Linked DNA regions of Canis lupus familiaris. The protein of the gene in region 2 interacts with the protein of the main gene of each other region in a pairwise test. Links are inferred from orthologs where the notes say so. Each region holds a gene or a part of one and is shown on either strand. Other genes may lie near its edges.

What was found. The genes of interacting proteins can lie anywhere in the genome.
Region 1: the proteins of APPL1 (region 2) and UBE2O interact in binary tests that used the Homo sapiens proteins (3 or more experiments, as listed by UniProt). The two-hybrid records come from large-scale screens. The link is inferred for Canis lupus familiaris from reciprocal best matches to the Homo sapiens genes APPL1 and UBE2O.
Region 3: the proteins of APPL1 (region 2) and FSHR interact in a two-hybrid assay, tested with the Homo sapiens proteins (2 studies listed by BioGRID). The link is inferred for Canis lupus familiaris from reciprocal best matches to the Homo sapiens genes APPL1 and FSHR.

The regions. Positions count from the first base shown.
Region 1 is NC_049230.1:5,208,200-5,211,787, reverse strand, and holds part of UBE2O ((E3-independent) E2 ubiquitin-conjugating enzyme), read right to left. Parts: intron 3,383-3,588; coding exon 3,246-3,382; intron 1,469-3,245; coding exon 1,265-1,468; intron 1,169-1,264; coding exon 1,111-1,168; intron 961-1,110; coding exon 290-960; 3' UTR 1-289. UniProt on the Homo sapiens protein: E2/E3 hybrid ubiquitin-protein ligase that displays both E2 and E3 ligase activities and mediates monoubiquitination of target proteins. Negatively regulates TRAF6-mediated NF-kappa-B activation independently of its E2 activity.
Region 2 is NC_049241.1:33,414,742-33,419,899, reverse strand, and holds the start of APPL1 (DCC-interacting protein 13-alpha), read left to right. Parts: upstream 1-1,832; 5' UTR 1,833-1,959; coding exon 1,960-2,013; intron 2,014-2,299; exon of another isoform or gene 2,300-2,382; intron 2,383-2,550; exon of another isoform or gene 2,551-2,730; intron 2,731-5,158. UniProt on the Homo sapiens protein: Multifunctional adapter protein that binds to various membrane receptors, nuclear factors and signaling proteins to regulate many processes, such as cell proliferation, immune response, endosomal trafficking and cell metabolism.
Region 3 is NC_049231.1:51,821,629-51,826,307, reverse strand, and holds part of FSHR (follicle-stimulating hormone receptor), read left to right. Parts: intron 1-1,822; coding exon 1,823-2,008; intron 2,009-4,679. UniProt on the Homo sapiens protein: G protein-coupled receptor for follitropin, the follicle-stimulating hormone. Through cAMP production activates the downstream PI3K-AKT and ERK1/ERK2 signaling pathways.

The sequences.
Region 1 (3,588 bases), on a different chromosome or scaffold from region 2:
AGTGCCAGGACGCTCTGCCTGGGTGACAAGTGGAAAGACCAGCAGCAGGTTCCAGATTCTCTTTGCCACAGGGGACCGGCCTGTCAAAAGATTGCTTCGGGGAAGAAACGGCAGCATCTCAAGAAACTCCTTGCACTTCAGCATCAAACTCACCTTGGGGAGAGGGCAATGAGGGGCTTTTGCATCGGGGACAGAGGAGAAAACGGGAAGACGGGCGATTCCGGGGGAGGGAGTGAGCGGGCAGCAGCTGGCCTCTCCCCACGTGACATTCCTTCCTCCAGGGTGGCAGCTACTTGTCCTCCGCGCTCTCAGGCATGCCTGCCTCTAGCAGAGCGGCCCGGAACTGCGTCAGGACACCCCGGATGCTCTTGATGAAACCCTTAGAAAGTGGGAAGAGAGGGAAGCCGATGTCAGGGTAGCCACTCTTCTCAGGCAAGAAGCTCCGGTAGCTCTTTCTCCGCTTCTTTGGTTTGACACTGGGTGGCACCGGGGTGTCAGGCGCTGCCTCCGAAGTCTGGTCTGTGCGGTCCCTGCTAGCTGAGGCCGGGCCCTGGGCGCCGCCCTCCGAGTCTGAGCCCTGGGAGGCCTCGCCAGCGGCCAGCCCTCCGTCCTCAGGTTCTTCTCGGCCGTAGTCTGAGAGCTCGGCCACAGCAGGCGGCTCCGGGGAGCTGCTGTCCTTGGGGATCCCGTTGGGCAGCGCGTGGGCCCTCTCCAGCAAGGCGTGGGTTTCCAGCCAGGACTCGATGCGGCTCACCAGCCGCCAGCCGCCAGTACGGAAGTGCTGCCGGATTTCCTGCTCGAAGACTTCAGGGGGCCGCCGCACCAGCTGGGTCATGGACTGGACCACGCGGATGAGCGCCATCTCGTTGTAGCAACGACTGTTCTCGTACCCCTCCTGCAGGCCCCGGTCGCTGTCGAAGCCAGCTTCATTGTAGTAGGGTTCATTCACCAGGATCAGACCTGTGGGCGTTGGGGTGGGAAGCCCATGAGGGCTGGCCTGAGGACCCCTGGAGGGCAGCCAGAGCTACGGGTGGGAGCTGGAGACAGAGGCCTGTGTCTCCGCAACCCCCAGCAGCTCTCCCGACCACCAGCCCTCCCCCGACACCGTACCTTGGATGGAGATGAGCACCTGGAGAAGGCTGGATTTGCTCGTCCACCTCTCCGTCCCCTGAAACACATGTGCACACAGCATGATCGACTCTGTCCAGACACCCGCTCCCGACAGGCTGTCCTCCCACCCCGACGGTGCTGGCATTACACTCACCTTTCCAATCCAGGTGCCCAGGAGGCTGACACACACCTTCCCGTTGTCATACAGGTTGGGGTTCAGGCGGCCACTGCACTGGGAGAGGTAGCAAAAGTGGGGGGGCACGGCTGGGTAGATGTTGGGCAGCTGGATGTCAAACAAGTAGAGGCCATCCTCGTAGGGGGTGCGAGTGGGGCCCTTGATCAGGGCTGAGAAAAGGTCCTAGAGGGAGGGAAGGCTGAGGTCGGTGCGGGCTGCTGCACGCGGCACCTGTGTGGATCGGGGGGAGGAAGAACAGCGCCCTGGGATTCCAGATGCCACCAGCTACGGAGAAGCTAAATGGAACTATTTCTGTGCGGGCCTACACGGCATCTTTTAACTCCTGGTATAAATGGAATCATCCAAACTGTTTTTTTATCATTAAGTCATTACTTTGAAGATTCATTTCTTAAAACACCTGCCCTGACCCCCTCTGCCCTCAGGCCAACAACAATTACAACTAGTCAGAAGATGAAAGAACATTCCAAGGTGGCAAGGCTATACTTGCTTTTAGGGAACCAGAGGAACAGGGGATCTGGAACCCCAGTGGAAAAGCTGGCAGACCACCAAAGAAACTCGGGTCATTAAGTCATTAGGGAGACTGCCTCCAGACAGTTGAAATCTGTGTATCGGGGTGGGGGGTGGCATCCACTATTACAGCAACACACGTGACACTGGGTGATGTAAAAACAGCAAGGGCAGAGTACTGCCCGGTGCCACCCCGCAGGCCTTGAGATAATGCACTGCGCCATTTGTCCCTGCGAGTAAGCCCTGGAAAAAGTGCTGTTCTCTCCTCAGCAGAGCTGAGACAGGTTGGAATTTTCAAGTTTTACTAAAACTCAAGCAAAAGCAAAGATGTCACCAAGAACCCTGAGCAGCAGGGGCGGGGGGATGGGGTAACTGGGTGACGGGCATTAAGGAGGGCATGTGACGTAATGAGCACTGGGTGTTGTACACAACCGATGAATCACTGAACTCTGTCTCTGAAACGAGTAATACGCTATATATTGATTGAATTTAAATAAATATAAGAAAGAAAAAAAAAGAATGAATGAACCCTGAGTGGCACCGACCCTGTGGTGACCCCAGCCCCACCCCATGGTTTCCAGGCAGGTGCAAACAGCACCCCTGTTCTGTTCTCTGACCCTCTGGCCAGAGCTGGACTGCAGCTGCGGCCAGGTCAGACTCAAGTTCAGTGTCTCGCACCAGGCCCGGCACACAGCAGGGGCCCGGTGGAGGTGTTGAATAAATGAGGTGACAGATGGACCGGGCATGCCTGTGCCTGGAATGAGGACGCGCTCACACCGCCTCCGGTGGCATGACTCAAGCCTGGGCCCGGGCCATGGAGGGAGGAATGGAAAACGCAATGGGACATGGCCACGTGAGTGGATACTAATCTGTAGCTAAAAGAGAATGAACTAGATCAAGACGCATCAACATCAACAGGTCTCAAAAATCATCCCATTGAGACAAAAAAGCAAACTACGGATGATGTGTGCAATGACAGGCTACTCGTGTGGAACAGATCACACAAAATGTTTATGCTGACGTGTGAGAATGTGAAAATAGAAAATAAAAAAAGGTGGTCTTTTTTTTTCTTTTTAAAGATCTTCTGTAGGGAGACCCACAAAACTCCTAAAATTATGATGCCTAGGGGCTGGGTGAGGATTGGTCAAAGGCAACTTCAGCCTTCTCTGCAACGTTCTGATACTTTTAAAAGAACAACACTCAGGTAATAACTTGTAAAGAAGGGGGAAAAGAACACACCGTGTGGTCTAGACACGTGTGTGCCCCCCACGTGAAAGAGCCTGTCTCCTGCCCCATAAGGGGTGTGGGTGGCCTCTCAGGTGCTGCTCAGTCCTGGAGGTCCAGGAGCCCACAGCTGGCCGCCTCTGGGTGCCAAGCACCCACACAAGAACACCTGCACCTGCCCACGCCAAGCCCACGCCAGGCTACTTGCCATCCTATCTTCAAAAGTCTTGACCATGATGCCATCGGGCAGCGAGGTAGCCAGCAGTGCCATCTCCTTCCGTACTGTGCTGAAGAACTTCTTGGCTTCTGGAGGCTGGAACTCAATTTTCTTAAAAGAGTGATTTGCTAGAGGAGAGAAAAGAGGGGTCAATCCCTAATGACAGGACCCGAGAACTCTATCTGGAAGGACAGCTGCCACACGGGGGAAGTGGCCTAGAGGAAGCGCCCCACCAGGCGGGCGAATAAGCCCCCAGGCTTCACACCCTCGAGCCCAGCCACCGCCCCAGTGACCACACCAGGGAAATGCTTTCCTTTCCTCAGGCGGCAGCTGG
Region 2 (5,158 bases):
AACCACCTTTCAAAAACTAAAAATCTCTTCCTGAGGGTGAGTAGTTGATAAACAATATAAGGGGAAAACCCTTATTTAAAGCTTATGACACGAAGGATAATTCTGTGAAACAATGCTGCAATCTACTTGGTAAAACTTTTAAAACTAGATTTTATCTTTTAAGAGATCATGGGAAAAATCTAGCATTTCAGTTTAAAATCCATAACTTCCGTTCCTGTTCCCATATTTGGGTTTGTTCTGCTATATCTGGATCTATTCCAGTGTGTCTGTGGAACCAGACAACTAATAATCTTTACTCAGCATTTCTTTCTTTCTTTTCTTTTTAAAGACTTTATTTATTCATGAGAGACACAGAGACCCAGGCAGAGGGAGGAGAAGCAGCCTCCACGCAGGAGCCTGATGTGGGACTTGATCGGGAACTCTGGGATCACGTCCTCAGCTGAAGGCAGACGCTCAACCGCTGAGCCACCCAGGCGTCCTTTTACTCAGCATTTCTTATGGAATGGATTGATTGGATTAATGGCTAGAGTTTTATTTATTTTGAAGATTTTGGACTTTTTTTTTTTTTTTTTAAATCTCTACACCCAATGTGGGACTCAAACCCACAGCCCTGATATTGGGAATTGCATGCTTTAGGAACAGAGCCAGCCAGGTGTTCCTAACGGCTAGAATTTTACAAGACACTTATGATTTTGCCATTTTCTTTGCATACTGATGAAAACTTCTTGTGACTCTACAGAGAAATGCATGAGGCAGTTGTGAGGTTGGGGAAGAAGGACAAAGAACCAGGAATTCTAACCCAGACCAGGTGTTGGAATCAGAGCTTCACTCTTCTTTACTGTAAAATTAGAGGCTGAAGAAGCTATTGAAAACTTCTTCCACAACTTTTTGATCTAACAGATATGCCTGTCAGCTACCCACATAATTAACCAGTGTGTGCTAAACTTTAAAAGATGTTTTCTGGGCAGCCCGGGTGGCTCAGCGCTTTAGCGCCTGCCTTCGGCCCAGGGCGTGATCCTGGAGACCCAGGATGGGGCCTGCTTCTCCCTCTGCCTGTGTCTCTGCCAATCTGTCTCTCTCTCTCTCTCTGTGTGTGTCTTTCATGAATGGATGAATAAAATTTAAAAAAAATCGATTTAAAAAATAATTTAAAAAAAAGATGTTTTTGTTTGTGATTTATAACAACTACTGAAGTCTGAATTGAGGCACCGTAGCCCTTCCAGGCCAGGTAAGAATCGATGAATCGATAATAAAGTCTCATGTTTTTAACTGAATATACTGATATCCAAGTGCCCAGAAAAATAACTGCGGGTCTACCGTCCATACATTTACTGGGAAGCCTGCTAGTGACCCAGCTTGGGATCCCACAGCCGGCTGAGCGGGCCAGCACCCTGTCGCCGGGAGGGTGGGGGTGGGGAGCAGACTGGACGCTGCGGGCAGGGTTGCGAAGGTTGTAACTGGAGCAAGAAAGGCCCCCGGCAGTAGGGCCTCTTCCGTGGTCTCTGATGAAATGTTGCAGGAGGAGTAAAGACACCCCAAACTCCCCGGGGTGGTGGTCCTCAGACGAGGCTCTGGTTCGCTGAAAGGCGAGAGACGGTCCCCCACAATTTGCATCAACAGGCGCGCGCAGGGCGGACGGTCGCAGCGAGCAGTCAGCGCCACCCGCGAGGCCGCCGCTCACCACAGCACCCAGAGCCGCGAAGGAACCTCCGGGCTAGCCCCGCCGCGCTGACGGGCGTCGCTGCGAGCCAATGGGCGCGCCGGGAGGCGGGGCAGGGCGGCCGAGGGGGCGGGATTTCCCGCGCGGCCGCTCGGCGCCTGGCGAGAGCGGCGCGGGCGGCGACGGCGGCCGCGCCTGCGAGAGAGGGCGGGTCGGGGTCAGCTGCTGCAGGCGGGCGGGCGCGGCGAGCTGTGGGCGGCTGCCGTGTCTCCTCCTGCCGCCGCCCTCCCTCCGCCACGATGCCGGGAATCGACAAGCTGCCCATCGAGGAGACGCTGGAGGACAGCCCGCAGGTGAGGCGCGGGCGGCGGCGGGAGGCGAGGGAAAGAGCAGGGCGGGCCGACCCCAGGCCTGGCGCCGCGGCGGCCGCAGGTGCCCGCCCCGGCCCAGGTGGGCGCCGCCGTCCAGTGCCCCCGCCCGTCGCGGGCCGCGCCCCGGGTCGCCGCGGCCCGGCCGCCAGCCCGAGGCCCGCGTGGGCCTGCGCCGCTGGGCCGAGAGAGCCACCCGCGAGGTCTGGGACGTCGGCGGGCGGCGGCCGAAGCTCCGCCGCCCGCGCTCGTGGGCCCGGCGGTCACGTACGTTCGCGGGGGCTCCCTCGTATTTGACGAAAGGTGCGTTTTCATCGCCGTCATCTAAGGTCGTAAATTCCAATCCTGGGATCTCTTCGGAGGAAATGCAGAAGGAGGAAAAAAATAAAAAAATAAAACAGCACCCCCTCACCCCCTCACCCCCTCACCCCCCGTAGACTTATCCCACGACCCCTGAGCAAGCCCTTGGGGAAGGAAATGGATAGTGTTCCCTCCGGAGTTGCAGGAACGCTGCTGATTTACCCGCCTGGAGAGTCCTCGGCGAAGCCCGTCCTGTGCCTCGGAGCCTCCCCGCGGACTGTGTCCCGCGTCGTGGCCGCGGCTGTGGCCGCTGTCACTCGAGCTGTGCACGGCCGGTGACGGACGGACGGCGCCTTCGCGGCGGCACGACCAACTGCTGCGCGGAACGGTGCAGACTTGGCCCTTAATAAACTCATCAAAATAAAAGCCCCGTGTTTTGTGCTCGGGAGCGGGTGGGAGGGGTAATGCTAATGCGGTTGCTGGAGCCCCGAGACGGTCCAGGGAAACCTAGCAATTTGTTAACGTGTTCGATATTGAAGAACGAGATGAATTACATTTAAAATTACATGTTGGTAGGGCGCTGTAACTTGCATCGGGAGACCTCATCCTCAAAGCCTGTCTCCTACACAAGTGATTTAAGCGATTTAGGACCGTGTTGCTGGTTGGCCACCTCTGAAATGGTGCGCATTCAGAACTACCATTGCATACATTTCACGCGTGTCTTGACGGTTTAATATGGCCCCAAAAGATGAGGAAGTAGGGGCTAGGTCCCCCTGGCCTGTGTGACACGTCTGCTGTGACTTTGTGCCAATTTTAATTGCCAAGTGGAAGTCGGGCTCTGATTGTGGAATTGATTTTTTTTTTTTCCCCATGCCGAAAGTTATCTTCACAGGCCAGTTGTTTGCTGGTAATGTACTCTTATCAGCCTAAACTGACACAGAGAGAAACCCGCATCTTGGTTTATCTTGACTGCCAGAATAGCTAGTTCAAATTCTTTTTTTTTTTTTTTTTTTTTTTTGCTAGTTCAAATTCTTATTGATATCTGAAGTATAAAGTTAGGAGATGTATTTGTTTCAGATGTTTTGTAAAGGTTTTGTGGTACGAGTTGGTCAGGTGCACTTTGTCATCTTTTATTATGTAAGGCTCAACAGGTTGCTGTACCTTTTCTTACCTGGCCTGGTTTTTATAGCCCATAAATCTTACACGCAGGCCACAATGGGTGCCCTTGCCACGACTTGTGAGGAGGATAAAATGTGACTCATCTAATTTCTCGAACTTTTCACACAGTTTACAAATTGAGCATTCTTTTTTTTTTAAATTAAGTATGTGCCATATTAGTATCAGTTTTATAGTAATTTTTTAATGAAATAGCTGCCTTGATACTCTTTCAGTTTCTTTAAGTGATAACTTGAACTAGGTACTTTGGAAAATTAGGATAAATGGGATTTAGAAAGGGAAGACGTGGGACAGGTGGGTGGTTCAGTGGTTGAGTGTCTGCCTTTGGCTCAGGGCAGATCCCGGAGTGCCGGGATTTGAGTCCTGCATCTGGCTTATTGCATGGAGCCTACTTATCCCTCTGTCTCTCTCTGTGTGTCTCTCATGAATAAATAAATAAAATATTTTAAATTAAAAAAAAAAAAAAAAAGGGAAGATGCCTGGAAGTAATACTTAGGGAAAACTTATGGTACGATGGAAAGCCCTAGATTCTGGGATTCAGGATATAAGGGTTTTAGTCTTCACTGTGACTTCACTTTAGGGCAAGTCACTCAACTTCTCAAAATCTTAGCTGTTATAGTGAATGTTTTTATTTTTGTACCTGATTATAAAAGACATAGTCATGAAAGAAAGAAAAATTGGAAGGTACAGGAAACAGTTACCTGTCCTGCACCCAGCAGCAAACCCTGTTAACTGTGTTTCCTCATTTGCTTTTATATATTTTAATGTAATTGAAGTTATATTGTGCATAACAATTTTTAATCTGCTTTAACTTAACAATGTAGTGTTAAGCATGTTCACGTATTAAATTCTGAATAAAAAAATTTAAAGGCTGCATGTTTTTTCATGTGACTTAACAGCTGTCCTACTGTTGGACTTAAAGTTTTTCATAAGTTTTGTTTTTACATATAGGACTGAGGTTAATGCTTTGGGGCATAAATTTTTGTCCTCATTTGGAATATTTATTTAGGATAGAGTCCAGGAAGTTGAGTAGCAAAGCGTATGAAAACTTTTAAAGTTCCTGGTATAGAGAAGTTTTTATTTAGATCATTAGATCCTAACCAGAAGTGGTCTGCCAGTGCTGAGAAAAAAAAGGTAGAGCCTGGGGTCATGAAAGACTATCCTAAGTTGCGGTTATCCATTTTTAGTTTTGATTTATAGTAACTAGGTATTAAAATAGATGGCAGTTTGCAAGTTCAAATCCAGTTGATTGGACATAAACATCTTTAGAATTATCTCCCATTCTGTAAAAGCTTATGTTATTTATTGAAACAGAAAATCTTTAAGGCTACGCTAGATGTCTTGTTCATACTTAAGTATTGTTTTGGAGATCTGGAGCAAAATGAAACTTTCTAGTTAAGAACAGATACGATCTTTTAAAAATAATTGATTTTATGTGTAGATAAATATCAGTAATTGAACAATGCTAGAACTATGAAGATGAAACTAGTTCCAACTGAGGACTTCCTTCTTTGATGTAATATGGAATGTTCTCAGATTATGAAACATACGTTTTCTTTTTTTCCACATTTTAGCATGTCTGATAGTGAGATATGTGCCCCTTACAGTTGATAATATTTTATTTGATTGGGTTGCAAATGTGTGCTCATGGTTG
Region 3 (4,679 bases), on a different chromosome or scaffold from region 2:
CCTGGGGTGCAGAAGTAGGATCTGAGCTGGGATATATATTCAGAAACCATCAGCCTATCTCTGGTATCTGAAACCAAGGACGTGGGTAAGATCACCTGAGAAAGTTATATACAGTCAGAAGTGACTTAAGGTTGGAGAAACTCCAATATTTAAAGGAAAGATAGAGGAGAAAGGATAACAAAATACAGGTCAAAGAAGATGTCAGAAAAAATTAAATAGAATGTGATGCCATGAAAAAGTCTCAAGGAAGAATGAATGTTTTACATGTAAACATAACTGAGAAATCGAGAAGCTTAGAATGAAGATAGGACCTTGGTGAGTATTTCTCTAGGGGTTGGGAAGAAATCAGATTGGATTATGAGAAAATAGCTGTCAGTAGCAGGTACTGGTGTCATTATCTTATGTTTAATTGGGAAATGGAGGTGACAAATAGAGAAGCAGTTAGGGGTGAGTTTCACTTGATCTTAGCCAAAAGGCCGAGAAGCGATAGGGGTGGGTTTCATTGGACAACAGGAAGTATTAAGGATTTTTGAGAAAGCAAATGAATGATGCAATGACAACAAGGTTTGGAGAATGTAATTTTCACCAGACTGTGAGAACATATGGCACAGCAAAAATATTTTCATACACCCAAGTTTCATTGCTCTAAGTACCCAATGCTTTGACTTATAGGAAATGCAGACATTAAAAGATTCTCCTTTGCCATGTATATCCAAGTGTCCTGAGATGAGCCCAACCTGGTCATCACTTGCTACCACCACCCCATCAGAAGCACTCCTTCACTAACCTGCTGGCCCCAACAGGTCTAAGCTGGTACCATTTAAAGCTCCTTCCTCCCACTGGCTAGTCTTGGTTGTTTTGGGAGTTACAGCTGCCAATCATGCTGCCAGAAAGTACCCAATGTCACTGGTGCAGTTGCCAGAAAGAATAGGACTTCAGAGCCCTCCACGGATATGGACCTGATTAAATTGTCCATTTTGGGGGGGCCCTTCATGTAGATCCCCTCTGCTTTGCTCAGTCAGAGACTCCTACAAAGCAAGAATAACTATGTACGAGAGACAGAGAAGTTTACTGAGAATTGCTGCCAGTCATTAAGTGCTGTCCATTGGCCAGGAAGTTTCTTGTGTACTTTTAAATCATTTAGTTGTCCCAACAGCCCTCTGGGGTAGCTACGATTATTACCATTCCTATTTTATGGCTGAGGAAATAGACACGGAGAAATGACAGTACTTTACCAAGGTCACAAATCTAATAGGTAGGGGAGCAGGGTACATACATGGGCTAGTCTGGCTGTCATTACCACCACTCTCTATCACCACTTTGACTTTGTACCGAGGGTGCCTCTACTGCCTACCAGATTCTTCTTCCCCTTATGGTGCTTTTCCTTCTTACTTTTCTAAAATTTGGCCACAGGTTCTACACCAGCTCATCACAAATATTTTTATAGCTGACTTTATGGTGGGGAGGAAATGGCTTTAATCTCTTGAGCCTATGTAAATTAGTGGATACCTATTTCAAGACAGACTATAGAAGGAGAGATGGCTAAAGTTAAGCCCCAGGTCAGGCAGGATGAGAGTATATCCAGGTATCTTGAGAGGCCTGTTATCTACATCCTCCTATGCAAACACAAAGGCCAGGCCTCCAGGAAACCAAATGTCCTCGTAGCTACATATTGATCTGGCTGAGGTATGTTGGATCAACTGGTATCTCCCTCCTCACCCATGTAAGAATATCACTACTGTGTCTGCCATTTTGCCTGCTAATCAAGCAGAAAATTTTAGGTCCATAATAATCAAGTTATATTTACATTTTATACTTCTAGAGACATTTCAAGAACCAGGATCCATTCCCTGCCTAGCTATGGCTTAGAAAATCTCAAGAAGTTCCGGGCCAGGTCAACATACAACTTGAAAAAGCTTCCCAGTCTGGAGAAGTTTGTCGCCCTCATGGAGGCCAGCCTCACCTACCCTAGCCATTGCTGCGCCTTTGCAAACTGGAGACGGCAAATGTGAGTCTTCCTATGTCCATCCCTTGAGCCCCACTTTGGCATTTTGGTGCGCAACTTCTATTTATCTGTGGCATGAAGTGAATCCACTTACAGAGACCTCCCTGATAAAAGCCTGTAGGCATATTCTAAATCGAAACTTCAGTATTGTGAAGGGTTTCCAATTTTCCTGAAATGGGCTCACAGCAGAGGGCTACCCACAATGGTAGATAATCTTTCAAATATTAAATGAGGCAACATGAAAAACACCAAGTATAGTGCCTGACTCATAGCTGATACTTAATGAGTATTTTTCCCTTTTTTCTTATGGATTTATTTTTCAAGTCCCACACTCTGCCACCTATACATGTTCCAGGGACCATACAAGTCAACTTTGGAGGAGAGAAGCATAAATGCCCTACCAGACACTGATGCGCACATACACAATACATCCCAACCCCTCCAAGACTCCTTAATCCATCTTTGGATCTTAGCACCTCACAGGGAGGACTCAGATTGGGACATCTGTTCACTTTGGCTTTCAAGGCTGGTCAAATTTGAAGAAGCCCAGAAAAGAGGGTAATCCAGACAGAGACAAAACCCAGGAGGCAACTGGTAAAAAAAAGATGATGTAATCAGAGAGGATCTGGAGAGAAAGTGGAGAGGGACTCTTTTGGAGATTGCATATAAATGTTTCAGACATTTAAAGGATCCAAGGCATGTAGAATGCACCGGGTAGGAGGAGTTCTCAAAGCCTGCACCCTCCCCTGAGCTCACTAACACAGTCCATACCACGCACTCACACTCAGATGATGCCTTGCCACACTCTTGTATAGCACCACAGCACTAATAGAGCTTCCCTGTGTCATTTCACTGTATGTTACAGTCTCCTCTATTGAACGACCTTCACACACATTCACCCGCCCATGTAGACTTAGCCCCTGCTCAAAAGCAAGATAAAAACAAAACAAAGAACAGTATATACCTAAAATGTTTTCAAAGTAACTAGAAGCCCACACTCACACCCATTCCAAAGATTTGCAGACAAGGGGCTACTTTTCAGAAATACCATGTATCAGTGAGAATCCAGAATCGGACACTTCTCACACATTAGCTCAAGGGCCCAGGAATTTCTTCCTGATGATTACAAGGTGGAAGGGCTTAGGCTGGGGAGCAAGGTTTGCCTCTTTTATATTCCAGACAAGTTATTCCAGCCAGGGCAAGAAAGATACCAATTTACCAAAGAAAACCCTGGAACTCAATGCCCTTCAGGACCAATCTCCGAGGTTGTCAAGATCATTGTAAGAACTGCATGTTATATGCTGCCTGGCCCAGTGCTAACACACTACAGGAATATGTTACCTACCTGCATTGCTCAGATTCCTCTGGTCTTGCCACCCCCCTGGTAACATAGAGGCAGCATCAGAGTTCCTCCTAACCAGAAATTTCCAGGTGTGTCTAACATTGTCCCATGACTTAAAGCCTTCCTTGATTGCCCCCAAACCACCTGGCTCTCATCCTTGCTAGGTCCCTATTGTAATTTACCATCAGGGCCTGTCTGGTACAGCAAAGGAGAGGTCTACCCCTTTCCTAGGAAGAGATGCCAAAACAGAGTAACAAAAATTGCAGTGAGCATTGAGTTTTTATATTTAACAAACTCACAAACACAAAATAGTTATGATATTCGTGAGATAACTACAAGATTTTTTTAACGATGTCATTTCATTATATACCCTAGTAGATGTGGTTTAGTAATGAGATTCAGGTTTAAAGTTGTATGATGCAATTGTTCTTCCAATCCTCATTTGGCAACAATGCCCAAGATGTAAATGTTAGGTCCTTGTGACTGTGAGGTTTTGGTCAACAGCCCTCCTGGACTTTCACCAAATGACCTTATTAACACACCTTATTTGTCCTTGAACCATATAGCTCTTTGTGAGAGTTCTACCCTCAACTTGTAATGTTATTTTGCTCATTTTGTGATGCTAGTTTTATTTAGGCCTTTCCTTCACAACTAGATTTTAAATTGGTGCACTGTGGCATATACATCTAAGTACCCACTCAGGGTCTGGACCCCAACATAAACTCAGTAAGTAACCACTGTCATCTTCTTGGTATTACTCATATTCACTGAATTCTCACTGCCTGGCTCCATGATATTTCCCAACTTTATCTCATATAATTCTCACAAAGGCAATAGTATTTTTATTCCCTTCTCACAGAAGCAAAAAGAGAGGCTCAGAGACAGTAATAACTTGACCAACACCAACCAAACTTAGATCCAAACCTTCTGCTTCATTTTCAAAGCCCAGCCTCTGGGCCATTCTACTACACACATCCTAAGAATCTGTTCATTGGTTTATCTGGGTTCAAGAATTCCCAACTCTTTATGATGCTTATTATTTGCTAAAGTATTGCAGAAGCAAGACTACTGTCCCTCACTTCTATTTTTGTTTCTATCCTTTTCTAAGAGACACACATTGTTTACCTCTTCTATATTCATGTGGTTGGGTCATTTCTGTTTCAGGAAAGGGAAGCATCAATATTTAAAATATGTTAGCAGCAAAAAAAAAAAAAAATATGTTAGCAGCATTATCAACATTAAGAATCTTCACAGAAGCCAACTAAGCCCCAGGAAGTGAAGCGGTCTCTAGATGATTAAGTCAGATCTAGTTTACTGAACGGAATTGTCATC